Arabidopsis thaliana: one gene and its partners. The protein of the gene in region 2 purifies or fractionates together with the protein of the main gene of each other region. This does not show direct contact. Each region holds a gene or a part of one and is shown on either strand. Other genes may lie near its edges. The genes, in order: EMB2719, PDLP1, AT1G57720 and MDAR1.

What was found.
Region 1: the proteins of PDLP1 (region 2) and EMB2719 purify together in Arabidopsis thaliana (affinity purification with mass spectrometry, with the first as the bait; one study listed by BioGRID). This does not show direct contact.
Region 3: the proteins of PDLP1 (region 2) and AT1G57720 purify together in Arabidopsis thaliana (affinity purification with mass spectrometry, with the first as the bait; one study listed by BioGRID). This does not show direct contact.
Region 4: the proteins of PDLP1 (region 2) and MDAR1 purify together in Arabidopsis thaliana (affinity purification with mass spectrometry, with the first as the bait; one study listed by BioGRID). This does not show direct contact.

The regions. Positions count from the first base shown.
Region 1 is NC_003070.9:6,998,919-7,007,145, forward strand, and holds EMB2719 (PAM domain (PCI/PINT associated module) protein), read right to left. Parts: upstream 5,515-8,227; 5' UTR 5,393-5,514; intron 5,258-5,392; 5' UTR 5,237-5,257; coding exon 5,158-5,236; intron 5,065-5,157; coding exon 4,874-5,064; intron 4,683-4,873; coding exon 4,542-4,682; intron 4,453-4,541; coding exon 4,316-4,452; intron 4,215-4,315; coding exon 4,160-4,214; intron 4,072-4,159; coding exon 3,961-4,071; intron 3,594-3,960; coding exon 3,354-3,593; intron 3,004-3,353; coding exon 2,491-3,003; 3' UTR 2,169-2,490; downstream 1-2,168. Other genes in the region: EXPA11 (expansin 11), read right to left, coding at 1-150, 257-578, 663-792; AT1G20220 (Alba DNA/RNA-binding protein), read right to left, coding at 6,172-6,263, 6,344-6,577, 6,697-6,753, 6,861-6,917, 7,035-7,109, 7,197-7,261, 7,387-7,461, 7,592-7,680 and 1 more. UniProt on the Arabidopsis thaliana protein: Acts as a regulatory subunit of the 26 proteasome which is involved in the ATP-dependent degradation of ubiquitinated proteins.
Region 2 is NC_003076.8:17,692,712-17,699,611, forward strand, and holds PDLP1 (plasmodesmata-located protein 1), read right to left. Parts: upstream 3,980-6,900; 5' UTR 3,748-3,979; coding exon 2,976-3,747; intron 2,246-2,975; coding exon 2,106-2,245; 3' UTR 1,969-2,105; downstream 1-1,968. Other genes in the region: TOM22-V (translocase of outer membrane 22-V), read left to right, coding at 177-476; SUVR2 (SET-domain containing protein lysine methyltransferase family protein), read left to right, coding at 5,743-5,994, 6,105-6,161, 6,250-6,288, 6,373-6,634, 6,747-6,900. UniProt on the Arabidopsis thaliana protein: Modulates cell-to-cell trafficking. Required for systemic acquired resistance (SAR) which is mediated by the signaling molecules azelaic acid (AzA), glycerol-3-phosphate (G3P), and salicylic acid (SA).
Region 3 is NC_003070.9:21,374,376-21,382,335, reverse strand, and holds AT1G57720 (Translation elongation factor EF1B, gamma chain), read right to left. Parts: upstream 5,017-7,960; 5' UTR 4,616-5,016; intron 4,602-4,615; exon of another isoform or gene 4,513-4,601; 5' UTR 4,464-4,512; coding exon 4,455-4,463; intron 4,180-4,454; coding exon 4,030-4,179; intron 3,952-4,029; coding exon 3,891-3,951; intron 3,798-3,890; coding exon 3,745-3,797; intron 3,634-3,744; coding exon 3,532-3,633; intron 3,394-3,531; coding exon 2,907-3,393; intron 2,602-2,906; coding exon 2,222-2,601; 3' UTR 1,957-2,221; downstream 1-1,956. Other genes in the region: AT1G57730 (RING/U-box superfamily protein), read left to right, coding at 954-1,478. UniProt on the Arabidopsis thaliana protein: Probably plays a role in anchoring the complex to other cellular components.
Region 4 is NC_003074.8:19,599,905-19,608,027, forward strand, and holds MDAR1 (monodehydroascorbate reductase 1), read right to left. Parts: upstream 4,551-8,123; 5' UTR 4,463-4,550; coding exon 4,412-4,462; intron 4,091-4,411; coding exon 3,995-4,090; intron 3,835-3,994; coding exon 3,763-3,834; intron 3,636-3,762; coding exon 3,584-3,635; intron 3,479-3,583; coding exon 3,398-3,478; intron 3,237-3,397; coding exon 3,118-3,236; intron 3,027-3,117; coding exon 2,807-3,026; intron 2,728-2,806; coding exon 2,609-2,727; intron 2,418-2,608; coding exon 2,292-2,417; intron 2,198-2,291; coding exon 2,057-2,197; intron 1,897-2,056; coding exon 1,573-1,896; 3' UTR 1,309-1,572; downstream 1-1,308. UniProt on the Arabidopsis thaliana protein: Catalyzes the conversion of monodehydroascorbate to ascorbate, oxidizing NADH in the process.

The DNA of each region.
Region 1 (8,227 bases), on a different chromosome or scaffold from region 2:
CGAGACATGGCTAACCAACCAGTCTTTGATCCTTTGATGGATACAGATTTAATAGAACCTGCTCCTCCTACATTTTGAATATTCACTAGCTCGAAGTAGTCTCTTCCGTTTATTCTGAATCTAACTCCTCCTTTCTTGTAACAGCTTACTCTGTTTTTCCCAAACACACAAAAAACACAGAGCTTTTCGTTAAGAAGTTTGAACAATTGCAAAATAACAGCTTACTCTGTTTTTTGGTCTTTTAAAAAGTTCTGACCTTTGGAAAACGACGGGAACGATTCCTCCTCTGTAAATTCCGATCTTTTCCCAAGCGGGTTGTGCCATGTCGAAATGTTTAAGCGGCGGATTGCACCAACCACCGTTGTTGTTAGGCAAAGCAAAGTTTGGTGGGCAAAAGTTAGTGGCTGTAATAACCACAGAAGCTCCTTTCAAGCACCACCGTGAGTCCGCCGCGTGATCACACGTTATCCTATAGCATTCTCCGCAAGAAGCTCCGTCGTTGAACAGAGCCGTGCTTAACGCCGCCGTCATTGTCCCGTACCCCGCCGAGTAAAGATCTCCGTAACCACAAGCTCCACCTGGAAAAAAACAACAAAAATAATTTCGTTATTTGAACAAATCCATTAGAGTCAGATCATAATGAAACTAAAGTGTGAAATTACCCATTGTTCCAGAAGCGTCACTTCCTCCATAGAATGTAGCGTGACCATTAGTTAAACCAGAAGGCCTAAACGCATCAACCGCAATAAAAAGAGCGGCCAAAACCGCCAATCCAGCTAGAGACTTTGACATGATTATGACTTTTGGAAGAAGAAAGAGATGATGATGATGATGATCGAGTGAAGGAGGTGAGAGTTGTTTAAATAAAGGTGGGAAGCGAGTGTAAACTAATGTAGTATAGCAACAAAAACCTTACATGTGGTCTTATCTTTATCTAGCCTGTGTGTATCTTTAATTTATTTATTTGGGCAAATCTCTTACATGTGTATTTTTGTTAGTAACAGTATAAGTCCAAAAAAAGACAGTAGATCTGCAAACTCTGTTTGTAATAATGCTGCAGATGGATTTCTATTCCTCCAAAAAGTTCATACAAAATTTACCTTTGGTTACACTAATATTGCTTTGAACTATATATAAACATTTTCCTCTGAAATTATATAAGAAAAAGAGACTTGAAGCAGATAATATCTTGATTTACTCATAGCCAAACATTTGTAATCCTAAAGTTTTGTTTTATTGGTTGATGCAGCATTTTTTTTTATACATAAGTTAAAGTTATTGTAAGATTGCAAATTTTAAATCAGCATGGTCATCAAAAATTCAAAACTAAGAGAATAATCATATGGGTAAATGATTTCTTGTGCAACGCGGTGGATATTTAATTTTTGCTTAAAATGAATAAAGTAAGACGAAAGAAAGACAAATGAGAGTTTTTTGTTTGTGATACAATCATGTGCAGGTTGGTCTGAGCAGGTTCATCGGTCACAGACTCTCACATGCTCACTTGTCCTACATTATTAGCAACACGCCAAATCTCTTTCATTATCATTATGATTATTTTTTTGGGTTAATTGTCCCTCAAAACTTGATTTCCAATCAAAGTTGATGAAGATCACCGTCACGACGTCGTTTGTTACGAACACTTCCGTCAACTTAACACTTGTTCGTTGTCACCAACATATGAAAAATCGTGGACTGCAAAGTCTGCAATCCGAAATCCAGACTACACTACCAAGTAACTTCCGCAGTAAGAAAACAAAATATGGATACTGGATACAACAAGATTAAGGAATTGAGGAGCTTGTTTGGATATGATTAGAGTGTAAGAATATATTGACCCATTACAAATCTACAATTATGAAAATTACATTTTGATTGTATGGATTAAATAGTTGGCAGTTGTAGCTATCAAAGAGCCCGGGTATTATTCTACAGATTTTTGTCATTATTAAGAAGTTAATGAATCGAACCAGAAACACCTATAATTAAAAGCATAACATGAGATTGTTTTATTCAAGAAAATGAGACCTAGTTTGGCAGAGATAGACTAATGTATCAATACACATAATGGTCAATACACATGTCCTGTTTTCATTCTTTAGATATTTATGACTGCTTATCTATCATTTAATGTAAATTATGAATGTGGATTTTAATGGTATGCATCGCCTGGAGATGATAGCATTTCACATGGTCAATTTCTAATAATGACCCACCTAATACAGCTAGCTATAACTACAAGTGTTCAATTCTTAAAATGCGAAAATCTCCCAAACACAATTAAACGAAGTTGAATTTGATCTTCTGAAACCAACAAGATAAATATCTTTTCCTAAAGTGAAACCAGAGTAATAAAAAGGTTCCTGAGGATAAAAATCCTCAATAAAGAAACACTTAGAGACGATGAGAAGAGTACCAAGTAAACTTGTGAACATAAAAAAAGTGAGACAGATGGAGAGTCAACTCTTATAAGAAATAGATGACCTTTGTCTAAAAATCATCATCGTCTTCCTCAGCCATATGCTTAGCAAGCTCTTCTTCCTGTTGCTTCCTCTCTCTCCTCTTCTCATCGCTTTCTTTCTCCTTGTGAGTGTTAGGAGGAAACCTCAATGCTCTGACAGCTTCGTTATGCATGTTGAGGCAGAAAGCAATTCTTGAGTTGAACGCAGTTTGTGGCTCATTCGTCGAGTAGATGTCCCCAGTTTCTTTGGAGACCATGCATCCGTTTTTGTGATCGATTGTAGCATCAATAGCTCCGTCGCGTATGGCCTTTGCCACGATGCTTTCCGCATCAGCCACAGGGTTTTCAGAGTTGAGCCTCAGCTTTTTGGCAACATCGGGTAAAGAGATTCTTGAGTAGGAGATACTTATGTTCCGCAGTCCAGTCCTGATGACATTGTGGCGGAGTCGCACGATGAGATTGTGCGTTCTGTCTTGAGCAAATGTGTCCAAGAACTTCTCCTGGACTGTCCTAAACAACTCCAAGTCCCCAATCCTAACCGCCTGTAAAATCAAAACAGAGCTTTAATAGTAAGCCTCAGATCAAAATCAGTATCAACTATCCAGTTGCATCATATATCTCTAAAAAGCAACAGTAAACAGCCAGAAATTCATGTTCAATATAATTCGAAGGAGCAGAAAACAACAGCAGCAACAAAATTGTGTTTCAAGTGACCACAGAGAGATTTTAACAGAAGAGGTGTATAGGCCAGTAAGTGAAAAGTAGGAACCGGTTTAAAATCAGAAGTGAAGTAGCAAGATCACAAGTGACCACATACTAATACCAGTTTAGTTATCCGCTCATAAATTAATGAATACATGTCACAGCAGCAAGATTATGAAAGTGGACTCACATTTGTTAGCTCGAAGTAGGGTCTGAGGGCCTTCTCCATACCCTTTTGAGTGAAGATAGAACGCTCTGGTATCTCACCCAGCAGTAGACGAACCAGAATTGCCCATTTATTGCATTGGATCCTGAAGCCCAAAGCTGCTATAGGGGCTTTCCTGGCCGCCTGAAGAAGGCTCTCTTTTGCGTCCGTATATTCGAGCTGAATAGTACGAATCTTCCCGAGATAGAAAAGGTACCTACAAAACTGCAAAGTATAATGTTTTAGACAAGTCATCTTGCTGTTTATTCTTTTGAAACAGTAACAATTGAAGGGTTAAAAAAAGAACAAAATTCATATGTAGCAAAGAAAAACACAAGGTAGATCGATGGTAATGGTAAGAGGTGGTGTCAGAAGTATGAAAAGGACAGGCAAAATGGACACTTCAAGTAAGTTCGGCAAATAATTAGTGATTGAAAAGAAAACACAAGAGCCTCCTAGATGGAAAATGCTATAGCGAATAGAAAAAATAATTCTCTGGAAAGATTGCAGAAGTGGCATTGGAGTTTTCATGCAAATATAGAATCTAGAGAACCGAGAAAACTTAGAGTATGAAGGAATAGCCAAGAGCTACCTGTTGGTTTGAATGAGCCTCAAAGCGAGGTGCCTTTGATCTTAGCTTCTCTGCCTGATCATAGAGGTTGTAATGCAAATAGTTACGTAGCAACAGGTTCAGAAGGGTTTCCTGCATTCAACATGATAAATTTGAATAAGAAGCAAGTAACAGTTTCAAAATAATGAATGCCGACTGAATGAGCTAAACAAAGACATACCTGACCCAGCTCATCGTGTCTTAGCGTTGCAGAATGATGCAACGCAAGAAGAGTACTGCAGGTAGAAAAAATGACCAGATTATTAACTATTGAGCTACTGATTAATATGAGGTGTAAGACAAAGTACAAAACTAAAACAGTCTTTGAGCTACTAACCCGCGAATTTCAGCAAGATCACCGGTTTGCTCATAACTCAAAGAATAGTAAAAGTAGAGTCTTGATGCTATCACATCAATGGTCCTTCGGTTGACGTTCTTGAGACGAGCAATGCTTGCTGAAGAACAAGCTTTAGCCTAAGAGATGATTAAAAGCAACTCATTAAAATTAAAATCACAACAGAAAAGTAACTTATGACAAAACACAAAGATACAGCAGTAGTTACCTCGTTGTACTTCTTCTGATCAATCAGAAAAAGAAGAACAATGAAGTAGCAGTAGATCTCGAGCTCTGCAGGTAGATGCTTAGAAGGAGCAGCTTGTGTGGCCGATGAGGCAGTATCAACTTCCATGTCATGTTCATCACCCTAAACCATTAAAAGTTCCAATATTTCAGTCTCTAAGCCAGTTGTATGTTAGATAACTTGCCATTCACAACATCAAAAGAAAGTATAACAACCATAACACGAATCTAAACAACCTAAAGCCAGATGCTAAAAGGAACAACCAAGTTGAGAATTCTGAAACATCAAAGTGAAGAAGTAAAACCCACAAATACCTTAGGAACAAAGGAAGAGAGGCGAGAGTGAGCTTCGGATCCTGGAACCAAAGCAAAATCCAGGAAGGAAGAGAGCACAGAGCCGGTGAGTTTCTGCCTAAGCCCTATAGTGAGACGCACAGCACGAGCAATACGACGAACCTCCTTCGTGTAAGACCCAGTATCGATGAGTGCTGCAATCTCCTTCAAATCTGGGAAACAAAGAAACAAAGCGTCAAAACCCAGAAGAAACTTAGCAATTATGAAAACAGTTCGAGAATTAAAGCATTCAGATCGAGATTTACTCTGCATAGTAGAGGTAGAAGAAGAGATAATCGATTGAGAAGGGGTGTTGTTATCTTTCATCTCCACGTCCTGAGTCATCTTTGCACAAATCTCGTTACTCTTCACAAAGACAAAAACAAGGTTAGGGTTTTTGCAGAAGTATGCAACTAAGCCGGTGAGATTTCAAGGAACCGATTGAAGTTTCAACCAATTTGTTGACTGAGAAAGACGGAGAGATAAAGACAGAGAGCTTACTAAATCGATAAAACGGAATTCGCCGGGAGAAAGTGACGATGATGGATCAGATTTAAGGACGAGCTGATGCTGCTGAGACTCTTTTCTTTCCTAAGTATTTTCCTTTTTTTGGACACAACAAAAAAAGTATATTTCTTTTTGTTCAAGACAGCTTTTTTCCATATTAGTATTTATATCTTCTACATTACGATTGAGCAACAAATGTCGTTGTAGTATAGTGGTAAGTATTCCCGCCTGTCACGCGGGTGGCCCGGGTTCGATCCCCGGCAACGGCGATTAACTTTTTGGTTACTAGTTTTGTTTGGACCTCTCTCACTTATTTTCGTACGCTTTCTTCGAATAGCCCAAAACACAACCAGCGCAAGTTGGGTTAATTTCTTTTTGTCTCAAAACACGTTGGAACTTGGAATTACAATTTTATTATTCATTATTTTTTCTTGTTATCTTTTTATGTTGTTAGAATATATAATCAACTGATATACGAACCAATGGAAAAAGGCAATGCCAAAGGGGGTTGTTTACTTGTTAGTGTCAATACGCCGACGAATGTAATTGGAGTCAAACAAATATCCAAAACTCAAAAAAGAGACAAAACTAGAAAACTCTTGAAGGAATAAAAACTTGAAAATCCAAGATCCATGATAAAATAAATGAGGATATATATAACCTAAAGCGACATGAACGAAAGATTATTCTACGGCAACAAGTTGCTTTGAAGAACAGAGACAAAAACATGAGAATGTAAGAAAGATCCAACTTCATTCAATGACCCTGGTCGCTCATGCAGCAGCCTGGATAGGTGCTCCATTTGATCTGTTGAATCCACCACGGCCTCCTCCTCTTCCACGACCTCCCCTTCCACGGCCACGTCCTGTTCCAACAATTTTTAAACATTTACAACTCATCATTATTTAATGAGAAAACATTAGTGTAACAAAATCATCAACGTACCACGTCCCTGAGGCGGAGGACCATCATATCCATGGTCTGCTGGAGGAGCAACATTGTTGTATCCATAGTCTCCTCCATCTTGTTGAGCTTCATAGTAAGGTGGTGGGGGGCCATTGTAACCTCCTCTTCCTCGACCACCACGTCCACCTCCTCTCCCACGCCCGCGTCCTCTGCCATATGACCGGTCCTGCTCCATACCTCCATCATTATACTCATTGTTCACATATCCACTTCCTGGCAAATCCGAAAGAAGAAATAGCACAAGCCAATCAAACACTTGTCCGCCGATCACATGCAAATATGTTAAAAGGTAAAACTAAGATTTGGAAAGAAATATTCTAAAGCAATTCTACCTCTGCCGCCTCTTCCCCTTCCTCCATCATCATACTCATTGTTCACATATCCGTTTCCTGGTAAATCAAACAAAAAAAGAAATAGCACAACACATTCAAACCCTTATCCACAAATCATATGCAAAAATCTATACTCAAATACGATTTGGCTAAAGATATCCTACCTCTGCCACCTCTTCCCCTTCCTCCATCATCATACTCAACATTCGCAGGTCCATTTCCTGATAAGTCGAAAAAAGGAATTAGCACAGTCCACTCAAACGCTTATCCACAAATCACATGCAAAAGCTTACAACGAAACTACGACACTGTATAAACAATTTCTAAAGTAATCCTACCTCTACCACCTCTTCCCCTTCCCCTTCCTCTTCCTCCTCTACCTCTTCTTCCTCCTCTGCCTCTAGGAGATCCGTCTACAAGAAAGAGATAATTTAAAAACTTAAAAAAGACAGCAGGGCAGGGAGCTTAAAAACGTCATTAAGAGTGAGACTCTAAAATACCTTGCCCTTCGTAGTCAATCTCAGCCAATGGCTTCACCATCTCAATAGGAATCGGACACTGGTACCTATAGCATTATTTAATAAGATATATTAGCATTGGAGACAATGTACCTCTCTAGACACAAAACAACAAAATCCCCAATAAGAGAATAGACGAGAAATAGCAAAACAACCAGTCCTAGAAACTCACCCAACTGAGGATGTGTTCAACTGCTCCTTGGAAAGTGTTATGGTTATCATCGACACATGCCTCGTGGTCTCAATTCTTCAGGAGAAAAAGATGAGTTTTAATAAATAACAGGTCAAAGTAACAAAATTAAGAATACAACATGGTTACATGTGTTCCGGTACACTTAAAACAATAAACTTGATACTAAAGTCTAGTGACCACATACGTTTGAAGGCCTTCCTCTGTAGGTTCCCAGGTATCTGTAATGTCCGTTGATCCAATAGATGTGATCTGATGAAGACCAGGAATCCTTCTCTGCATCAAGGATAACAATATAATCTTCAGATACACAAAAGAACTACAACTCTGAGATCAGGAAACAGACTAAAACCAGAAAATACCTTAATCAGCTCAACTATGGTCACACTCTTGTTGATAGCTCTTCCCATAGCCTTGAAGATAACTTCATTCGATTTGTTTTCCTATAAGATAACAAAACAACTTCCGTTACAAAAACAAAAGTTTCAAGAAGAAGCAAAAGCAAAATTTCTATGTCAAAAAATCAACTAATCACATGACTAAGTACTAAAAAAGTTTGAATAGCAAGCAGCGAGAAAGTAATTAAAGAAAACAGTTAATCAATAACTTGCACTTTTGAGAAAGCAAATTCATGTACAAGTTTTCTACTAAATCCGACACGAAACGTAAGAAATTGATATAAATCACCAAGATGCATCCAAATAACATAAATGCAACTGGATTATGAAACCGCATTTTTTGAACTTACAATTATATCATATAGATAATCTACACTGTACCAAATCTCATCACTACACCAATTCATAGAACCATGAATACCAGA
Region 2 (6,900 bases):
TTTTATGGCCCAATCATTGAGCTGATTAATATATTGGACTTTAATGGCCCAAATCATGGTAAACAAAACTCATCCTACTGATAGAAGAAACCCTCGTTACTATCCTCTCACTCTCCGAAGCGATTCAGAAAGTTTTAACCCAAAAAAGCAAAAAAAAAAAAACTTTTGTTCACTCGATGGCGGCGAAGAGAATCGGAGCCGGTAAATCTGGCGGCGGAGATCCAAACATATTAGCGAGGATTTCAAACTCCGAGATCGTGTCCCAAGGAAGACGCGCAGCAGGAGATGCCGTCGAAGTATCGAAGAAACTGCTCCGGAGCACCGGAAAAGCAGCGTGGATCGCTGGGACAACTTTTCTCATACTTGTTGTTCCATTGATCATCGAGATGGATCGAGAGGCACAAATCAACGAAATTGAGCTTCAACAGGCCAGTCTCCTCGGAGCTCCACCATCTCCAATGCAAAGGGGATTGTAAGAATCCCTTATTATGGATTAGGGTCCTCTGTTTTACGAGTTTTTTTGGTTATATGTTGTTGTTTGAATTTGAATTTCGTATAAGAGTGGTTTAATTCACATCGTTGGATTCATAAAGTTCAGGCTTTGTTGTTTTATATATTATCTTGAGATTGATTTGGCAATCAATAATTCTGGTTTCTCGGATTCATCATTCAGTTGAAATTGTTTCTATTGCAAGAAGTTAGTTAAATTTAGCATCTTTAGGCTATGAAGTTGATTCCATAGAGTTCTCAAGCGTCTAAGTATGGTTGATTGTCACTTTGTATGAATGGCGATCATCTACTTGAGAGCTATGGAGTTGGAGTTTTGTACAAGTTTGGGATACTTCCTTCTGATATGTTTGTGTGTGTGTCCTGTCTTGGTTTAGAGATCTATATGTAAGATGATTTGTGTGTGAGTCCTGTCTCCTCTTGGTTTAGGAAATCATGTTCAGGTTCTAACTTAAGTGATGCTAGAAGCGTATTCAATGCTCTAGAGTTCTGAAGCTTGTTTATATGGTTAATTTTCACTTTATTTGAATGGTTCTACCTTTAACAGACTAGTCTTCTTCTAGTTTGTGGTACTTGAGCGATGAAGTTTGAGTTCTGGGATTAGTTCCTTCTGATATGTTTTGATGTGATTGTCAAATTGTTATGTGTTTGTTTCGTTAAAGGGTTTAAGCTGAAAGAAGATATTTCAGCTTATGTCTAGGGTCAAAGATGAAGTCTATCACGTCTCCTCTTGGTTTGGGAAATCATGTTCATGATCTAACTTAACCATAACAGTGGTGGAAGAACAGATTATCAGCCGTCAAACTGTTTTTTTCTTTGAAACATACCTAACCCGGTTTGAGTATTGAGTAAAAGAACGGTCATTGAAGTTCCATGTATTTGCTGCGCCTTGCAAATTTTGAAATCAATCAGAGTTACAATCTAGTGTAGAAAGATTTTTCATTTACCATAATCGTGCATATCTTTGAATAGTGTCACAATCACTTTATATGCTATAGATAGAAGTTTTATAGATGTAGTGAAATGTATAGTTGGATACTGTGAATCTCACTAACTCCAAACTTCCAAAGTGAGATACCAGTAAAGCTTCACTCTTTCCCAATGAAAACGACTGAAACTGGATTTCACTAGAAAAAGCTGCTGCTTTACTTCTTGTTAGTGTTTTCTCGTTTTCATCAATTTTCTATTTTGATGCTTCATTTTACTTTTAATATTTTGTTTTCAATAGTGGGTATGGTTTTTATCTGATCTAAATCATTGGAAATAAATAGAACAACAAGTATTAATCAGTAAGTTGAGGAATCACTTTCATCTTTCAATGGGCAATTAAATAAAATGAAAGATTTGAAAGAAATTAGATACTAAGTGACAGAGAGACAAAAGAAAAAAATGACAAAATTAATCCTTCATTATTCCAATAGCTTAATAAATATTGTATTTATATCATCCAAAATTTTCCAAAAAAATCAAAATTTATTTGTATTTAAATCAATATCATAATTGAATATACAATTGGACATGCTATACTAATCATTTTTCTAATATACCTTGTTAAATTTTTAATTGGGAAAATAAGAATTGGTAGGTAAAAATAAGAATCAATAAGCATCATATTTATTACTCTTCTTCTTCATGGCAGACCTCAAAACCAACAAACAAACAATCACAAACCCTAAAACAAAAACTCCTCCCACCGCCAAAGCTATCGTCCTTTCTGTGTGTTGTCTCTTCTCTCCACCTACACACACACACAAACACCCATTAATGGCCATTCCCATTATAATTACTTATTTCAAATTTTAATTATCAAAGAAAATTAAATTAAAAATATTAGCTAGCCTCACTCACATGTAACCTGAATGATGTGTCAATATTCTAACATTTGGAAAAATCTCTTCTTTTCTATAACGAAGTAATCTATTTCCCCACTAGTTTTTCGGTTTTAATATCTTCTTCCACTACTAGTTCTTTGTTTTCGTCTTGTCTCCATTAGTTTTTGTTTAGTCTACTTGACAACGAAACTACATAAAGATATACACATTCTTATACGAGATTCATGTGTGTGTAACTATCACCGAACTATTAATATTTGTATACAAAATCTAACACTCACTATTATTCGATTAAATAACTCCTTACCGTAGAGATAAAATATGTCGCTAAAATGGAAAAAAGTTTTTTCATACTTCAACTAAAGATACATATATGTGTTCGATTCATATCAAGTATATTACCGTACTAATTCATACCTCAAACATAAACAGTGATACCAACTAATTATATACCAATACTACTAAATTCCACCATTTTTCTATTACTCTGTTTCGCGCTAAAGTTTTTATTTACCGTTTTATGTTACCAATTCGACCTATACGATTAAAACTCTTTAATAAGAGAACTAATTTTCTAATCATCTGAAAGTATTATATCAAAAGGAAAAATATAACAGTGATTTAATTAGTGTATACCTGATAATGGCTCTATGTTGGGAACACCATGAGAGTAGTAACTATAGCTAACGAAGCACTTCTGAAGGTAAACTTGTCCCGAGTTCGACTCTCCACACTCACTCTTTGCTTTCTCAAATCCATCTTTCACACATTCCCCACAATCTGAATTTCCCAAACTACCCTCACACTGTCCCAACACATACACCGACTCATACTGCCCCGCGTAAAAACCTCCTCCGCCACCACCACCACCGGATGATCCAGTTTTCACGCCGTTCTCCGCCATACCAAACGCCGTCTCCCTTTTCCCGACAAACCCAGGATCGTTAGAATCTTTTTTCCCACAGACACGGAACAACATCTCCGTACCGGAAGTTTGCCGGAATCCTGAACTCTCATACCGGATATAACATCCAGCGAGGTGAACACGAGCCGCCACCACATTACCGTCATCTCTGCCGCCACCGCAGAGTTTAGAAACGAGTTTAGGGATTTTGGAGACGCAATCGTAACACTGAGCGTTTTGGAGATCGCCACGGCACTGAAAAACACCGATCACGGCGGTGGTGTTATCAGTTCCGGAGGTTACGGAAGCGAAAGAGCTTTGTGATGATTGAGAAACTAAAGAAGTGAATAAGTTTTTGAGATTCTGAGAGAAAACACCAGTTGGGTCTGGAGATTTCTGATTTGCACAACCTTTAAAGATCAGATTTTTATAATCATCATCACCGGAGATTGCAAAGAATGGTAAAAAGAACCAGAAGATGAAGAATTGATAGGTGAGTTTCATAATTGAGAAAGACAGAGAGAGATTTTTGTTTCTTGATGTTCAAAATCTTTTTACTAGTTTGTTTCTGTCTAATAAAGTTTGTGTTGTTTTTATGTGTCCGGAAAAAAGAAAGTTTTCCGTTTTTTTTTTGTCTTTTGTTTTGAGGTTTAAAGACAAAAAAATGTAAATAAGAGCAGGTTTTGTAGTATGAAACCATGAAAAATAAAGGAGTATACTTTTCTTTGGATCTTGCTTCAAGGGTAAGATAAAAAAGAAAGAAACTTTGAGACGACAAGTGTTTATTATATAGATTTGGTTTAGGAGATTATGTAATACAGTATCAAAAAAAAATGATTACTGTTTCTTCTTTTTTGTTGTTGAATTTAGTGAATAACCTTTAATGCCATTAAATCTGACTTTATTGTCTGAATTTGGATTTTGTTTTAGGACATTGATGGAAAAACACCTTTTGTGTATATGTATTTTTTGTTTAAGGCACTAAGATATATTTTGATGAGTTTGATTTAAATTGTAGGCTGATACGAGAAGGAAAATAAAATCTTAGACCTTGTTGTAAATGTGAATGATTGATTCGATTTTATTTTGTGTCCAAAACAAAACAAAACATGATCGTTTTGAGTTTACATAATTTCAGAACATAATTGCGTAGTAACTGGAGTAAATAATAATAAACCTGTGTGTTTTTGTAAACTACAAAAGATATTATCACTATGATTATTTTGAGTTAATGATAAGCATGATTGTTTTTGCAGGATTTTGGATTTCACATTCTATATGATATATTTTGAGTTGGTGAGTGTGGAAGATTTGTCAACAACCCTTGATCTCACAAGAACCAAATTGCCTTTGTGTGTTTGGATTATAGCTCTCTTGGAACCTTTGTTGATGTATTTTACCTATGCTTTTGCTTACCTTTTATGGTATTGGGGAATGCCTATCTTTGTTGTATGTTAAAACTTTGTGATCTTAGAATCCTTCTACCTTTGTACTTGTTTTCTCTTGTAGATGAATGAAAACAAGCATTTGCCCAAAAAAAAAAAAAAAAGATTGCTCGGAGAAGTAGAGGTGTTCCCCAATGTTTCAAAATCATTAAGAGTTAAAGACTACAAAAGGAAAGAACTAATACTGTATACTGTAAAAGATATGTGAAACTCTTAATTAAGTATAGATTCCCTATACAATATTAGTGAATAATTTTTATAAAATAAGGTTACCAGAACTGCCTGCATTGGATTTAAATACCGGAGAATTTGAGACATACATAGTTACATACACATGATAGTAGTAAGATCAAAAACAAATCTTAAGAGGTCAATAAGATTCGCTTATTTATTGAGTTTGACCCGACCCAATTAAGCCCGGCCCATTAAGCAGAGAAGAAGAAGAAAGAGAGAGGGTCAACAAAAAGTCACAGTCGAACAAGATACTGAGAAAGAAACGAAATTTCACCTGGCACTGTCCTCGCGTGTACTCTCACGCGCCGACGTAATACTCTGCCGTCGTCACCGACATTGTCTCTACGCCGTTGTCATTTGCTTATTACGGCCAAGATTCTTCACTAAGTAAGTCAAAATCGTGGAATCCTTTCTCTGTACCGAGCTCGCTTTAAACCCTAACCCTCTCGTCTCTGTACTTAGTAAGTTCTTCTAATTTCCGACGAAAGTCTTCTCCTTTTTGAGTCTCATCGTCATCTGAAAACGCTATTAGCTCTCTGGAAGAGAAAAAACAACGTTTTGTTAGAGTTTCTTTGTGCGATTGTGTTTTCTTAAGAGGAAAGGTTTCAACTTTCTTAGGATATTCAATTTCTGAGTCTTTTCTGCTACTTGTGGTTAGTCTTTGCTGCTAGGTAGATGTCTGTAGTCTTGGTTTGTTGTTGATTTGCTTTAGGTCTGTCTTTGCTTATTGTTGTAATGTTTTGAGTTCTGGCCACATTTATTTCCTTACTGAACGGCTCTTCACATCTTGTTTCTTCCGCATTTTGATAGGACGAGGCAAATGAGAAGTTACAACTTGTTTCACGAAAGCAATCCCACAATCAGTTTTAGTTTTGTTGGTGCAGAAACGATGGCACCTAATCTGCATATCAAGAAAGCATTTATGGCTATGAGGGCTATGGGAATAGAGGATGCGCGAGTGAAGCCGGTCTTGAAAAACCTTCTCGCCCTTTACGAGAAAAACTGGGAGTTAATTGCTGAAGACAATTACAGGGTTCTTGCTGATGCTATCTTCGATAGCCATGAAGATCAGGTATCTTTCTTTGTTCTCTCTTTGATCTACTGTTTTTTTTTTTGTAAATCTGTTGTAATCATTGTCTTTGTTATTACCTTGACATTCCATATTGATTTACTTATATAAAGGCTATTCAAGAAAGCGAAGAAAAGAAGGCAGACGAAGTTAAAGAGGATGAAGGCTGTGTATGTTTTTTCCAAACAATCTTCCATTTATTAGTTCAATGTTGCTTTATTATCCATGCTTCACTTTGTTGTTGATCCAATCTTTCAGGCCGCAGAAGTTGACAGAGGAAAGAAAAAGCTCCATGAAGTATGGCAAACTGAATATCTTTGCTGTGTTAGAGTAATGTGTCTTCATGTTCTTGTTTATTCAGTTTCTGTTGTGTAATATCAGTCTATCGAGGATGACGAAGATGTTATGGCTGAGTCTGATCGCCCTTTAAAGAGGCTGCGACGCAGAGGTGAAGGAGGCTCTGCTTTGGCAAGCCCTAGCTTGGGCAGTCCGACTTTAGAGGGACCTTCAATTAATGACGAAGAAAATGCTCCGATCCTATTGCCATATCATCCTGTACCAATTGAAAATGACCATGATGCTGGTGAGCTCATTCTTACAAAAGTCGAGCCCATTACAAATATGCCTCTCAGTTCTATTCCTGGTACTTTTTTGTAAATAGGAGTAACTAAATCTTATTTGCATTGCTCATTTTGTTGTTATGATTGTTGAAGCTACTTTCTCCAAAACTAATGTGTCTTGTACGTTTTCTGTAGATTCAGTAGATAGAGGGGACTCTTCCATGCTTGAGATAGACAAATCAAATGGACATGTGGAAGAGAAGGCTGGTGAAACAGTAAGTACTGCTGATGGTACTACCAATGACATTTCTCCTACAACTGTTGCGAGATTTAGTGATCACAAGCTAGC
Region 3 (7,960 bases), on a different chromosome or scaffold from region 2:
TTCGAAACCAAGATATTATCTATGCCTAAAGCTTTTAGCTGAAAAAACCAAAAAATCAACAGAGCTTGAGCAATTTAGAAGCAAGAGCTCTCCCAAATTTTGTGTTCTTAAAATAAAATGAAGCTAAATGACAAGAGTTGAGCAAGTTTGGTATTACAGTAGAAACAAGATTCGACCTCTGCATCTCCAGGCATTTGGTTGAGAAGATAATCTTCGTTGTAAAGCCACAATTAAGACTATGTTTTACTGCACAATGACAAATAAGAGAAGGTTTTTACCGACAGGATTAACTCATACTCTGAACAGATTATACTGTGCAACAAAATCATTACCTATACTTTGTCAAGAGACAAGAAGATGTTGCTATTGCAGGATTTTGCACTGTTATGCCTCTCTAGCTAACATTGCAAACATATATAGCAAATTACTAGGTTATAAATTTTCTTAATGGTCTAAGAACCCTGAAGTTAGCAAAGCCAGGTGCTTTCCCCCAAAAGAACACTGGCAATCTCTGTCTATGCTTCATTAAAATTAAATTAGTGATTTGGATTTATTTGGATACTTTTAAATTTTATGGAGATTTAATTTGATTTGAGATAATTTTGTAGAATTTACTAGTTACAAATCTTAGTGGTTATGGATGTCGAAAAAAAAAGATGTTACAAAAACCTACGTAGTTATGATAACTAGAGATTTTATAATATTTAATTGAGAAGCTAAAAATATGAGGTTAAAACCAAAAAAAGGAAATTGTAAAAACAAAAACGAGATTACAAAAAAGGAAATTGTAAAAAAAATGGAAATCGCCGACTTAAGGTTTAGTTATAAAATTAACAACAAACACAAGATCACTTGTCAACAACATTCATCACAACACAAAGACCATCACTTCCTCTCTGCCTCCGTCTCTTGTTCGGTTTCATACCTTTGTCTTCTAATTCCAAAAACCAACAATGGTTCCAGAAATCACTATTGATGTTAACGTCTTTCCGAGTCCACGCAAGTCTTCATCGAATACAGTGGAGATCAATCTCAAGCGTGAGAGCGACGACAAGTGTGATGATGCTCCTCTGTTCCAAATCACTCAACTTATCTTAAAAGACGTCGTTAACTTTGATCCACACAAGACCTCTCCTCTCCTCGAAACAATCTTTCCAGACAGTATCTCAGGCACTCGTCTTTGCGTTGAGATGGCTTTAGCATCCGAACGAGTTCCAGCGCCGTTTGACATGTACCTTCACGTCACAGTGAGATTCGTCGAAGAATCCACTTCTAGTTCTCCTCTAGAAAACAAGACATGCGCTATTTGTTTGGAGGATATGTCACAGGATGTACATGACTATCAGGAGATGCCGAATTGTCCCCATGTCTTTCATAATGACTGTATCTACAAATGGTTGGGTCATAGTAATTTGTGCCCTCTCTGCCGCACTGTTCTTGAAGATGAAGATGACGACGATTATCCCTACTACTCCTAAACAGAGTCATGAAGATTTCTTTTTTTAGGGTTTTTAGGTTAAGAATGATGATTTGTTGATTTTCTTGAGATGATATTGTAATGATTCGATTTGTTTGAGATAATATAGTAATGATTCGATTTATTTGATTTTCTTAAGACAAGATCTTAATCTACCTTTTGTTTATTTTGGTCATTAAACTCTTTGTAGAGAACGAATTAGGTTTACTTGGTATATCTTCTCATCTTAATAAACTTGAGTGATTTTAAGCCTCTCGGACCTAATATCTATGAACATGTTCAACATACACTCTCCTTATAAGCTCACCTCATGGCTCTATTTCTTACACCTATCTCTTAAATGTTGCTGTGTAGACCAACATTCGATTGGCTTAAAAGGAATTTGGGTTTTAGTGAACATATCTGAATCATCAAGTTAGAGACGTGTTAGAGACAAGTTAGAGACGTGTAATATTACAACTTTAAAATGAAATTCAGTATGCCCCATTAAACGAGATTCTTTGCATCTTCCAAGCAACTAATTTAAAGAGAGAATGTCACACACACGAGTTTGGATAATAAAAAACAAAATAAAAACAATAACTAGAAGTTGTAATGTATTTAAGAACAATATTCTGTCAAAATAACATTGAGAAGCAACTAGTTCTTAAACCCGAGTACGATTCAAAAGGTGGTAAGGACTCTCTAGAAGGTATCAAAACACGAGTAACAGAGTAAACCTCTACGGAGATACAAAGAGCCTTTTCACTTAAAGCATTTGGCGTCCAAAAGAGCCTCGCCTTCAAATGGCTCAGCGTCTTCAATCATCTGGCTAACACGCTCCTTCTGTGCTTCATCGGAGATATCAACCTTAGTCCACTCGTACAGCTCCATGTCGTACACCTCATCCATTATGAACTTGGGGATCTCTGGTCCACGGAAAAGCCATAAACCCTTCACCTTGAAAGGACCCTCTGACCCGCAAATAAGCATCTTTCCAAAGGAGTATTTACGTGCCAAGTCCATACGCTGAAGGAACCCTCCTACCTTGTTGAGTGTAACAAAGGAGACCATGTTCTCATCGTTGTACTTATAGTCACAGAACCATAGTGAGTACCCCTCCGGGTCATACATGTCCCAGAATCCTGCAATGAAGAAAAACATTCAAGGCATTGAGCTTAATAGAATGTACTTTCAGACTCTGGGCCATACATGTCCCATAAACCATAGTGAGTACCCCTCTAAGTCTACTATATCTAGCTTAGGAGGCAATTTAGTAGACTAGAGCAGCTGTGAATTGTTTAGAGAGTCGTTAGTAAGCACTGGTATTATAAGGATGTCACAGCACATTGTCTCGGATTTTTGTAGCTTTCTTCTTAACAAGTTGATTCCATAAACCTAGAACAATTTCTTCTAAAGAACAATTAACAGAAGTCATCATATAACATACCTTTGATAGCAACCTCACGGAAGTTGGATTTGGTGTTCGAGTAAAGCCTCTTCCAGTCATCGAGAACCATTGGGCTTGGTGGTAGCAAGTCAAGAGGATTCTTGGCTTTAGGCTTTGGTGCTTCCTCCTCCTCAGCAGGCTTTGGTGCCTCTGCTACAGGGGCTGCCTTCTTGGGCTCCTCCTTGGGCTTAGCAGGCTGTGGAGCTTTCTTAGTAGGAACTGGAGGGACAGCTTCGGTTTGTTTGGCATCACCCAACACCTTCTTGAATTCTGGCTGGTTAACCATTGTCCAGAAGTATCTCTCAACATGAGGGAATGCAGAGGTAAATTTCTTGGTCATCACGGTGGCAAATCCCAAGTTCAAGTTGCAGATTGTGACAATATCAGCAAGGGTGACAGAGTGTCCAACAAGGAAAGTGTTGGAGGCGAGATGTGTGTTCAGAGCCTCAAGTCCTCTCTTCAATGCAGAAATTGCCGCTTCCTCAGCCTTCATTCAGATAAAACCATTAAAAAGATTAGTCAAGCTTAGACTAGTCAAATACTAATCTTAGCGAGTAAGGAGTAGCATGATTTGTTAGTACAGAGAGTGCATGAGACAAGGCACAAAAAATGAGGGAAAGCTTACTGGGGCAGAGAAGGGAGCATAGCCCATTCTTGGAGCAAACCACTTCAACATGTTAGCATCAATCTCCAATGAGGAGAAATCGATCCATTGCTCAATGTGAGCCTGAAAAGTAAACACATGCACATAGACATGAATCAATGATAGTAAACAAGAGATAAACACAAAGGTACGATAATTTTAAAAGGAAAGGCCATTGGATAAACAGGAGCTTACGTATTCAATAAGGGAGGATCCATTCAAAGAGTTGTCACCATTCTTACGGCTCACTGAAGGGGGATAACAAAACAATCATCATATCCAATTAATACCAAGTTATAGATAGGTGCATCAAAGAGAAACAGAAGGAAATGAAGTTATACCATATCGGGCAATGGCATTGCTCTCAAATATGGGACCTTCAGGAGTCTCAAGCACAGGAACCTAGTGGGATCATAATCTTTTATTAGCTAGGAATTTACAGCAAACATCAATCAAAACTTCTCGAAAGAGATTCCATACCTTTCCAATAGGGTTCATCTTAAGGAACTCAGGTGACTTGTTAGTGACGCCCATCTGAAAGTCTGCGGACTCCTCGATCTTCACACCCGCATACTCTGCAGCAATAAGTGCCTTATTGGCACCTTTGTTTCCCTTGTATGTGTGCATGACCTGATAAATAGTATGATTTACACAAACTTCATCAATGAAACTCAACAGAAATTGCATAGTTATATTCATCCAAAGTAGTTTTTCAATGCAACACAAAATCCAGTTCTCAGATTAATAAACAATCGTCCAAGATACCTAAATCATTCTAAAATCAAACTATATTCCCAGATTTAAGATACATGAATCAAAATTCATAAACTATCATCAACAGATCAGTAAAACCAATCGTGACGGATCTGATGAAACGTGTAATGATCTCAGAAGTGAGTACTTACCAACGCCATTGCTCAAACGGAGAAGATATACGAACTCGGAGATTTTCTGAGTTCAGATCTAGTTACCAAAGAAAACACCAAGTAAAAATCAGTTAATCGTCGATGAAATTTTGAAACGAGAGAAGCGTATATGAAGAAGAAGTTGATAGATTGATTCTTACGAGAGACTTTCTGCAAAAACAATTCCGAGAGAGCAAAGCGAGAGAGAAGAAGATACAAAAGCGGCGGCGAGAAATAGTATTAGAGTGTGGAAATTAGGGCTGTGTGAAGTCGGTTTTGGAGAATATTCCTTTTTCGTTTGATTCGGTTTAGCTTTTGGTTTTGTCAAATTTGGTTTGCTTATTTTTAAGGTTTAAACGATTATAACTTTTGCATTTATGTATAACATAATAAAAATTAGCGTATTGTTTTACCCAAAGTAAAGTTGGAGTTTTGTTTTTGCATTTTTTGACAGATTTTGCTGACATTTCCCCATGGCCATTTTGATATGTAGTTTAGTTGGTTGTATCCATATCCTTGGTGTGCCAAACTCGCATGTTGTTGAAAAAGAAGAAAAAGAAACACTAGTTCATCGAAATTCGTAGAAGCAACCTCACAAAGTTACTTCTCTGATTCATGTCTCTATGTGGTTTCTTCCTCTCCAAGATATCCTAAACGACAACCAAAAACAAAGTTTTAGACCATACAAACTAAACTTTAAATCCGAAAATGATATATCCTTTTTAAAAATAAGTTGTGTTGTGCTTTTTAAATTCAAAAGGGTTATTAACTTATTATGCAAGATTGATCCATAGATGTAAACTAAAACGTTACCACGTACAATGCCAATTAATATAATTAGGTTTTTGATACACCAACTCCAAGTATGGGTTTGAATAAATACAAAATTGATGAATTTTGTAACCCTTCTTTCACTTTGTGAAAATGAAATAAAATCTTTTAATTAAGTAGCTTCCAAAACTATTAGAGGGCATTATTGGTAGGTCCACTAAACTATGTTATTGTTCGTATGTCATACATATATAGATGTTTTTTTATTGAGTTCGATTTCTTCTACGAAGTTTACAAAATTGGTTACCTTCCACAAGTCTTTGCGTATCATTTCTTCACAACTTACTCCTTTTGGTCAACAGTACCAACAACTTTAATTTCAAGCATCTTCCGCCTCTTCTTCTTCTGCACTGCGTTTACTTTGTGTGACCAAAAATCCAAACTAAAGATATGGAGGTTCCAATCTGGCAATGGTGTTTGATCGTCATAGTGATCATATTCTTGGCAATTGCTTCCCATTTTCTGGGAAGAATCTTGTGTAGCCCTCGAGAGAGAATCGCAGATAGTAAAGCCGAGAAAAAACATGGACCAGCCGAAGCAGACAAGACTGCGAAAGGTGGCTCCGACCAACTCGTGTGATGATCTCAAAGAGCATGCATATATCGTCAAGTTTGGTTTGTAATTTGTAAGTTCATTTTTTTTTTTACTATTATTGTAAAATAATACTAATTGTTCACATCCATATATACATATATGCGTAAATATATATATGTGTGTGATCAATTCCAATTTAAAAAAAAAGAAGCATTGGAGAGAACACTAGTAAGCTCTTAAATTTGTTTTCAATTAGTCATCAACTCATCATCAAGTCTAAGAAACCAAAATGTAATTCGGGTTTACAACATTGCATGGTTAGCTTCATATTATGGGAAATTAAACTTTGATAGTTAGACCAAAAAAAACAAAAAACGTTGATAGTGTTGACCTTGGTGATGGAAATCAAATGAAATCAACTTTTAACCGTGGGTTGGCTATGTGCATATCGGATTAGAACCGATAATTGAGCTGCTGTAGACTCGCTTTAGGTTTGGTTTAATGTCCATGTTATGTTAAAAGGCTGTTATAATTGTTGAAACAAAGTTTTACAACAACCAAATTAAAAAAAAAGTTGTTGTAACAAAGCATGCTATAAAAAGGTAGAGCAAGGATCCATCTTGTGTATGATATATATATACATTTTAACATATGTAATTTCGTGTGAGAAATTCAGTTACTGAGAAGATAGTGAATTGCAAGTATTACGTAACGTAGGGATCTCAATCAAGTCCCGAAATCGTAAAAGCCTCACGTCTTTTCTTCTTCCTATTTCTTGGATCCTCTGTTCTTGTTCTGTTTTTCTTTCTTTGGTGGTTCTTGAGAGATTGAGAGAGTGAGTGAGTGTGAGAAATATTAAGTCAGAAGGATAAAATTCGATTCAGCTCCGCATATTCGATTGACATAGTTTAATTAAAACAGTGGAAAGATTCATGCAGCTTATAAAAAAAAAAAAAAAAAACCAAGAAATACTTTGATATTAGGTGATCAACGAATAATCTGAATATTGCAGAAAATATGATGAATGTTATTTTTCTTGAGCTTGCAAGCAGAATTTGAATAACTTTTCTTCAATATTTAGGGTTTATATTCCACATAATTTGAAGGCTTTTGTAAAACCTAAAAACGTACTATTTACAATTTTAGATTTAGCTTCAAATATGTAATAGTAAATCTTAAGCATGTTGCTAAAAAAAAAAAAAAAAAAAAAACTTATGCATGTAATTCTTTACATTGATGTATATATATATACAAAATATATTCATATGTTACAAAAAGAATCCTAATACTGTAAATTCATGATTTATCTAAAGATTTGTTGCTTTACTCAAAGATATTTTGTTTCGAAAAGAATATGGTTAATTCATGATTTATCTAAAAAAATTTTGGTTTACTCCAAGATCTGCAGTAACATAATGGTTAATGTATCTCATTGATAATTGATTGCCAGGTTTAAAGCCCGATAGAAAATATCTTTTTTTTAATGCGATAAAGAATCATGTTTCATAAAGAATCATATGTTTCATAAAGAATATTGCAAAAATTAAAATTAAAAAATTTCTATGACAAATTGTGTCAGGATCATTAGCAGTTATGGCCCGATGTTAATAGGAAAATTTTGGCTAATCCAATTCAATCTCTAATATACTAGATTGATGGTTCATGAAAATCTTTGGGTGTTTTCAAGGAAATGATCAAAGGGTCTTTCTTGGTGCAAAGTGTCTTCGGAGGTGTCCCTCCTCCCTACACTCGGAGATGAAAGTTTTAATTTGGGTTATGAAGAATATCCTTTCAAGAAGGATTGATTGTAAGGCTTTTGAAACAGATTGTTAGAAGTTAGTCTTCGATGGTGCAGTCTCTTGAAGAATGACCCACTTTATCCAATCTACTAGATGAGTTTAGAATGCTTTGTGTGTTATTTTCCGGTTTCTCGATTTCTTATATTTCTCGTTTATATAATTGTAAGGTGGATTGTTTAGTTCGCTCTTCTCGTTTACTGCTTTCGGAAATTTATTTTATAGACTATTTCTCTCCAAATTAGGCAATCAATCATGAAGTTATATTTTAAATAATTTGTGGTTGATAAAAAAAAAGATTTATCTCAAAATCCGTTGATTTATACAAAGATCCGCTGTAGCACA
Region 4 (8,123 bases), on a different chromosome or scaffold from region 2:
TATTCAACTACTGCAAAAGTCTCTAGCAGACGACTGTATCTACTACACATTTGGGCATTCAACTAAATACCACCACGCATCTTAAACTTTTCCGCATCTTATATAAATAATATTGTTTTTGTCTATCGGTTACAAGAAATTTAAATCTTAGAGGATAATGATGATGATGAAAGATGTGATCTGAATAAAAACGTTTCAGAAGATAAATTTCTTAAACACGATTAATAACCTTGAAACTGAACTGATCATAGATTTGTAGTACTTGTTAATTCTGAAAAACGTCATATATACACACACACACACACACAAATTACAGCTATTCGTCGACTAATAAAAAAAAAAATTACAACTTATATTCTAAATAGTGGATTAGGTTGATTGTTCTTTTAAGTCATAAATGTCCCACCATATTTGTTGTCTTTTTATTAGGGGGGAAAACGTAGACACATAAAATCAGTTTATTCGTCATCCTCCTCACAAATTAAGCATATCACACAAAAATAAGAGATATTAAATGAAAATTTTGGTTGTGCTTCACTGTCTTATTTATTTCCAGTTTACTTTAAATTTAAGACGAAGACCTAACACTATGACCTCCATACTTAATAGAGTTTGCCCCACCAACAAACTTTATGAATATGCATCTTGCATCACATCTTTCGTTATGCTAATTAATAACAGTTTGGCTCATCACATGTGAACATACCCAACGTAATTCCCATTACTTTAAAATTATGAATCTGATCGTAGCGTTTATAAGTGTCCAAACAAGTTTTCTTTCAGAGAACCACAAAGTTATACTATTTAAAACTAAACCAAAAGAATTACTAACAAAATCGAACAAAGAAAATAACTTAAATGCAGTTCAATTTTTGCTAAGTTTTTGTTCAATCTTTAACCAACAAAAAGAGAAAATCCAAAAAGCGAATCTGACGCTCATAGTATTTCATCTTTTCATTCACATTAATCAATATTTGCTTTCACAATCCCACATTATAAATAACATTATTCCTAACTAATATATTTAGAATGAGTAGATTTAACTGAATTCCACTCTACGACTGGAAATAAATTTGATTATCACTAGCAAAAGGGACTAATATCATGTTAAATTTATGAATTTCTAACTCAAAATTTTCAAGTTTTCTTCGGTTTGTGTATATATCAAAACTAATTCTAAGAAAACCTAGTCGAGCCGAGGACATGGAACAATGAGAGATGTCCAATTAAAGATCGAATTGACATTTCAAGGGTCGTCCAATGCCCATTAGAGTCTACGAATTACTATTTCAAGGCCCATTTGCTTTCATATTGTAAATTACTCCCTTCATTTGAGATTACAGTAAATGTGGTTTTGGAGTTGTTCACATTAAGAAACCAAGACAGATACTGAAACACAGAAAACCAAACACATGATCTAAAATGTGAATGTGGTTCAGGGTTTCCTCTGCCGTAGACTCTTCTCATGGAGTTTAGAGAGACAATACAAACACACAACTTATTATAGCTAAACAAGTTTTTATTTTAACATAGAAGAGAAAACGTGAGTTTGTTTTGGTGGTTGTGTTTCACTCAGATCTTAGCTGCGAAGGAAATTCCTTGTTTCACGAGCTCGTCGAGACTCTCTGCAGAAGGTCGAGCTTTGGCGACTTTAGCCAAGGCTTTGTTCTCATCACCACTACCTCCCTCCATGAATGCTCCAACCACTTTACCACCTTGAACCCAATATGCTCCAAATCTTGGTTTTGGGTTTGATGGATTGCTGTCTCCAAATAACACAGAGTCTCCTACGTTGTCTCCGTAGAACTGCCATGAGAGATCAAAGGAGCGAGAGTAGAAGAATGGAAGATAGTCGTATTCCTCCACCGCTGCGCCTCCCTCAGCCGCTTTGATCGCCTGCCACAATGTATCACATATATAAACGCTTCATCAGATATATACAACTGTATGTTAATCTATAAGATTTAGGCCTCAAGAGTTTGCGTTGCATTTTTTATGGTATGGATTAATAGGGTTTTGGTGTAGCGATATCAGCCATATTGTAAGCATTATTTACCTTAACAGCTTGCTCTGCTGATTTGCGGGAATGGTCAACATGCTCGACCCTTCTCACGTCTCCGTACATTTTCAAAGGGAAAGTAGCAACGTCACCAACAGCGTAAACATCTGGAACACTTGTTTTGAAGAATGCATCGGTCTGTGTGAAACAGTTAAGCAGTCAATTTAAAAGATCCAAATCAGAATGGTACGGGATAAGAAGAAGAAGAGACGCACAGGCAGCAGATAAATACCTTAATTCCACCTTTATCTTCCTCGACCTGTCCCTTGAATAAGGATGTCAATGGTTTTGCACCAACCCCAACTATCACAATGTCGGCTTCCAATGTCCTCCCATCCTTGAGTTGTACTTCCTTCACCTGGAGGATTATATAATACAAGTAAGACATTTGCAACGAGACCATTTGGAAAAGCTAATTAATCGAGTTCGTCAAACGAAACCAAACCTAAACATAACATTGTAATTTGGTTTTAGACTTTAGTTTCTATAAAATCAAACCAAAACTTAAATTGGATTGCCCACTCTATTAGCTAATGTTTCTTTGATTACCTCTCCATTTGGCTGAGCTGTGAACCCAGATGCCACTGTTCCTTTAATGATCTTCACTCCCTTGTTTGTATAGTAAGTCTCATAGAAAGCAGCAATATCGGCGGTGAAAAGCCTAGGCACTGCGTCAACATTTTGTTTTCATTACGTGTAACAATGTCATATATTACATGAATAGCAAAAGGATACTAGTCAACTTACTGCACCAAGGTTCAGGGAAAACCATAGTGACATCTAAATTGTTGATCCTTAAAACTGCACTAAGCTCAAGACCAATGTAACCTCCGCCAACAACTACAGCCTTTCCACCTTTCTTAGCTTTAATTGCTTCAACCAATTTGTCGGCATCATCAATCTCTCTCAGATAGAGGATATTCTTAGAGTCTGCACCTTTTACTCCAAAATCAGTCAATCTGAGAACCTGCAAAGGAAGGTAAAGAGTTACTTTCTTCTTGTAATAGAATTCATAAGAAGCATTCTGATGTGAGAAATGCAAGTATATCAGTCTTTACAGTAGAACCAGTTGCAATTATGAGCGTCTGATACTTGAAGACATCCCCAGTTGCACTGACAAGACTCTTGGCAGAGAGATCAGCTTTCACTATTTCTGTGCTTAGTATCAACTCAATTCCTACAAACACAATGGATAACAAAAAAATCATAGCACGATTTAGTTCCAATAACATAAGTAATTAAGCTTGTATAGAGAGTAATGTAATGTTATAATAGATCAGTGGGACTACACAGATGAGCAGGGCATTGATATTGGTGATGTTGCAGACAGTTCATTACCTTTCTGCTTGTAGGATTCAGGAAGCAGTTTTTCTCCACCACTACCAACACAGCAATGGAAACCTGGAAGTCTAGCAGCCCCTGCAACAAAAAAAGATTATCATAAAAAGCATAAACCAAAGCCAAGTTTCAGCAAATCAAAATTAAACGTTGTAGTTAGCAAAGTAAAGTAGAAAATTGTCTTACCTTCAGGAAACAAATACCCCTTGCTAAGTGCAGGGCGTTCATATGGAGCCACCTAAGCCACCATATAGAGTAAATAAGGTGTGAGGATTAGAGAAGACAAGTCCACATAAGGATCATCATATCATAGGTTACAAGACACACTGCATAATCACAGTTTTCCAAATCGAGAGGAAGCTTACCGCCTCTTTCGAGATAACAGCCAATTCTCCTGGTTGAACCCCTTGATTGGCAAACTCCTTAGCTGCGTATCCCTACACACAAAAATGGAGAAAAGGATACAACAAAGGTTAAGAGTTGAATTTGCTTCTGTATTTAGTTATTTCTTTGGAATTTTCTTCATTAACATCTGTGACTATACGATTAATCTGAGCTAGTATAAACTAAAGAGGATCCTGATGATACTATGCTTACTATTAACCATCTGCAAGTGATTTTGCAGAGATACACTTTTCTCACACTTAACAACAACAAAAGAACTAGAACTGAATCGGAAGTTTTTAAGATGCTCTGTGCAGAGGAAACCAGATTACATCCATGTTTTACGTCGAAAAAACAATCAATCAACATACGATTGTTTGATTCAAAATCAAGTTTCGATTGTAAATTCATCTCAACGATACTAGAAACTAGAAGCAGAGCCGCCGATCTGACGTTTAAATCTATGAATCACAATCTATAATCATCGTAATCGCTATCTGATTAACAATAACAAACTCCAAGCCAAAAAAACTACGAGAATTGTGGCATTTCGCAACACAAATCGAATCAAGCTCTTCGAAAATCGAAAGCAATGGCTGAAAAAACTTAAGGAGGAAGGAAGATACTCACGGCAGAGACGCCGCCGCCGAGGATGATGTACTTAAAGCTCTTCTCCGCCATTTTATCCGATCGTGTGAAAGCGTTTTGTTATCTTGTCGCTGAAGTTGGTTTGTTAGAGAAGCAAAGAAAGAGCAAAAAGGCTAATATGAGCTGAGTGACTCTAATTGGCTAAAACTTAACCAAGACTTGGCCGTTGATTGGAGGATGTAGATACAAAGCTTACACGTGGCAATATTGTGACCGTTGAATTTATCCAACCGTCGTGGTTCATGCTATATGTGGAAAGTAAAAAGAATTAAGGACGGAAATAAAGGACTGATTGATTCTTAAGTCTTTTTTAATTAACCCGAAAAATAGTTGGTGGAAAAGTCACAAATGTGCCACGTTATTGGATAAGTTGTGGAAAAGTCCACAAATGATGGGTTTTAGATTATTGGGCTTCTTTTCCTGACCTCTTAAGGCCCAAAATAACAAAATTCAAGAAACATGAAGCTTAGTCCTTCGACCCACATGATAACCCATTTGACCATCACATGATTAACAATTCGACTAAAACAACCATAAATTTTGATTTATCAGCAATTATATTTGTAAATAGGTTTATTACTACAATCTGTACGTAATAAGTATCAATCTTTGAAGGAACTAAAATTTACACATTCCCATCCAAGACTATAGGCAGTCACAATAACCCATTTGGATGAATGCTCATTTTTATTTTTAATTGTTCAAATTTCAAAATACTGTGTATAGCTAAAAAATCGAATTAATAAGTGAAGGAGAAAAAATTGGTGGAGTGGATTAGATGCATACAATGACAAAAAAGCCAAGCAAGCCTTTTATGGGGGTGTGGCCTGTCGACACAAACATGTGAAACCTATACTTGTTGCCTTATTCTCTAGCTTGTTCTCTTTCTTTTTATTTTTTTCTTTTACCAAATCTAATTTGATTACCCTATATATCTCATCTTCCTCGGATTCTCATTTCTCAGATCTTAGTTCTTATTGATATTGTTTTGTTTAATAGTAGTTATCAAGAATATACATAACTCGAATCATTTGTCGTTGTGCACCGTTGTTTCTTGTTCGCCGTCCACGCAATAATTATAAACATCCATACCTAAATTTTATATATACACATCATGAAATATTGCGACAAAGACATTTAATCTAGTGGCTCATAGTATTAGTGCAGTCATTGCATCATAACTTGGTATAAATGTTTGAGATACAAAAATAAGTATATATATATATATATAATAGAGTTTAATCCGCGGTACACCGCGAAAATAATTTATTTTTTAAATTAATATATATAAAAGTATGGGTACTTTTTGTATTTTGTACACTATTAATGAAAATTCACATTTTAAAAAATAAAATTGAATGATGGTTCAAATTGATCTTAAACGAAAAAATCTGGGTTCCATCAATCGTTTTTCTTGAAAAGATGCAAAATATTTTTAAAAATCGAATAAAATAATTAGCAGGACCATTGATATATTTAAATATGCGCATGCATATGTTTGTATAATAAAATCTTTTGATGTTGATGGTTGGTTTAAGTTAAATAAGAAATCAGAAGCGGACGTAACACATCTAATTTTTGTGTTAGTTTAGTGTTTACAATATATTTAATGGGGATTAAAAGCATGAGGGAAGAGATTAAAGGCGCAGAAAGAGGAATCCTAGGCTCAAAGGGTTCTCAAAGACCTATCAAGTCTCTATTATTTCCTAACACCACGTTCCAACTGTATGATTTAGGCTTTTTTGCCAGATTCAAAAGTACTTTGTTGTTATTAATCTCGATCATGTATCATTAAGTTATGTTTCTTGATCTTATGGTTACGGTTGTATATTATTTGATTTTTCCTATGCATTTTCCATTAGACTCTATTTGATTTTTCCTATGCATCTTCTATTAGATTCTAGTTCATTCTTTCTTATTTTTTTAATTCATTTGTCTTGGGTGGCTAATGAAGCAATAATGGTTTTTAGTTTTTATTTGAGATATTTGTAATTAATGATGCATATAATTTACTGTTTTACGTGGAAAAACGTATTCTAATTTCTTGTAAATTGCAATCGCATTGTATATTGTACCGAGGAAAAGGATCGATTTGCCTGCGTGTGTATAAGCTTTATCAACGAGATCCAAAGTAATCTATATATGACCCATTGACCTACCATCATACACAAAGTCAACACACCTAAAAATGATTATGATCATGTTAATCTATTACCGCTTCACATACAATTGATAAAACCAAACTAAAACTAAAACTAAATATAAATACTATAAACTAGTTAAGTAACCCACGAAAAAGTCTCGGCTTGGCTATAAAAATGCAGTCACCTTCCACTTTTTATTATCTTTCTGATAGTCATTCTATCAGAAATATTTTATACATTAGACTGATTTGTAGTATTTTCGTCTGCTTAAATTTGAACATATCGTTCGTTAATCATTAATGTTTCCTAAGTTAGTAACAGGCCTAATTCTTAATTGTATGTTCAATACTTTTATCTTATGATCTGATGTCTGAACTTTGAGGTAAAATGGTACTAGTATAGTTCCATAGTTATGAATTTGAAAGACTGATTAAAAATATATATTCAAAATACATATCAATCTACAGTGTTCTTTTTTTGTTTGCTAAATTATATGAATCTACAAAATAAAAACGTTATTTCTTCGAAAGAAGTGTTGTCGAAAAAACATTTTGAAAAGAACTGCGCATTGGCTACCTGTCTTATTCTGACAATATTGCTCCACCGTTATATTTTAAAAGCATTCACATCTATTTTTATCTTCTCACCAATCTTACCTACTACCATGTGTTCGCAGTAAATTAAGACATACGACGATCGAAATACTGTAATTATTTATTTTTATTGATTACACTAAACTAATCTTTTCATCAAGATAATCTTTCTTATGGGATTTCTGATTGTAAAGGGGTTTTTCCTCAATTTTTCCCTATTATTTTTTCAATTTAGTTTTGCCCAAAAAAAAAAAAAGAAACTATTTAATAAAGTTCTATAATATATTATTGATATAATCCGATTGAGTTAGCTCGATTAGAAGAATCATAGATGGCTAGATAAAGACATCTAGTCGACCTCTACTACTCTAGTGATCTAAGATTCAACTGGAGAGCAGTGTTATGACTTTGAAAAAAAAAAAAAAAAAAATCAGCATGATATACAACTTTTATAGATTAGTCACTATTCGATGAATGATGGGAAATTTCTTTGGCAATTTGACTTTGGTCAAATATGTCATGATATTGGTGGAAGTAAATTATTGATCATCAACATTTCCGGGAGGTGAAATCAGTTTTGACATGACAGTATATAATATTAAAATACTTGTTTCTATGAATAAAAACAGCATAAATCCAAATAAAGCTCGAATTATTTAAATAAAAGAACAATAACAATTCAGATAAATTTATGAACAATAATAAAAGAGTTTTGAAATGGAATTAAATATCTTCTGAAGTGAAATATGTAATAAAAATACAGTAGTAATTTTTATTTGTTTTGAGGCATAATAAAATGAGGAAAAAACCCGCAAACATATGCTGTGGGACCCACCATGTTTTTTTTTTCAACTTGATCATCTCTTAACTCTCTCTCATTCACCAGAAAACAAAAATTACACAAAAATCAAAACTTTTACTTTTTATTTCTCCTCTCTGGATCTTCCTCTTCAAAGC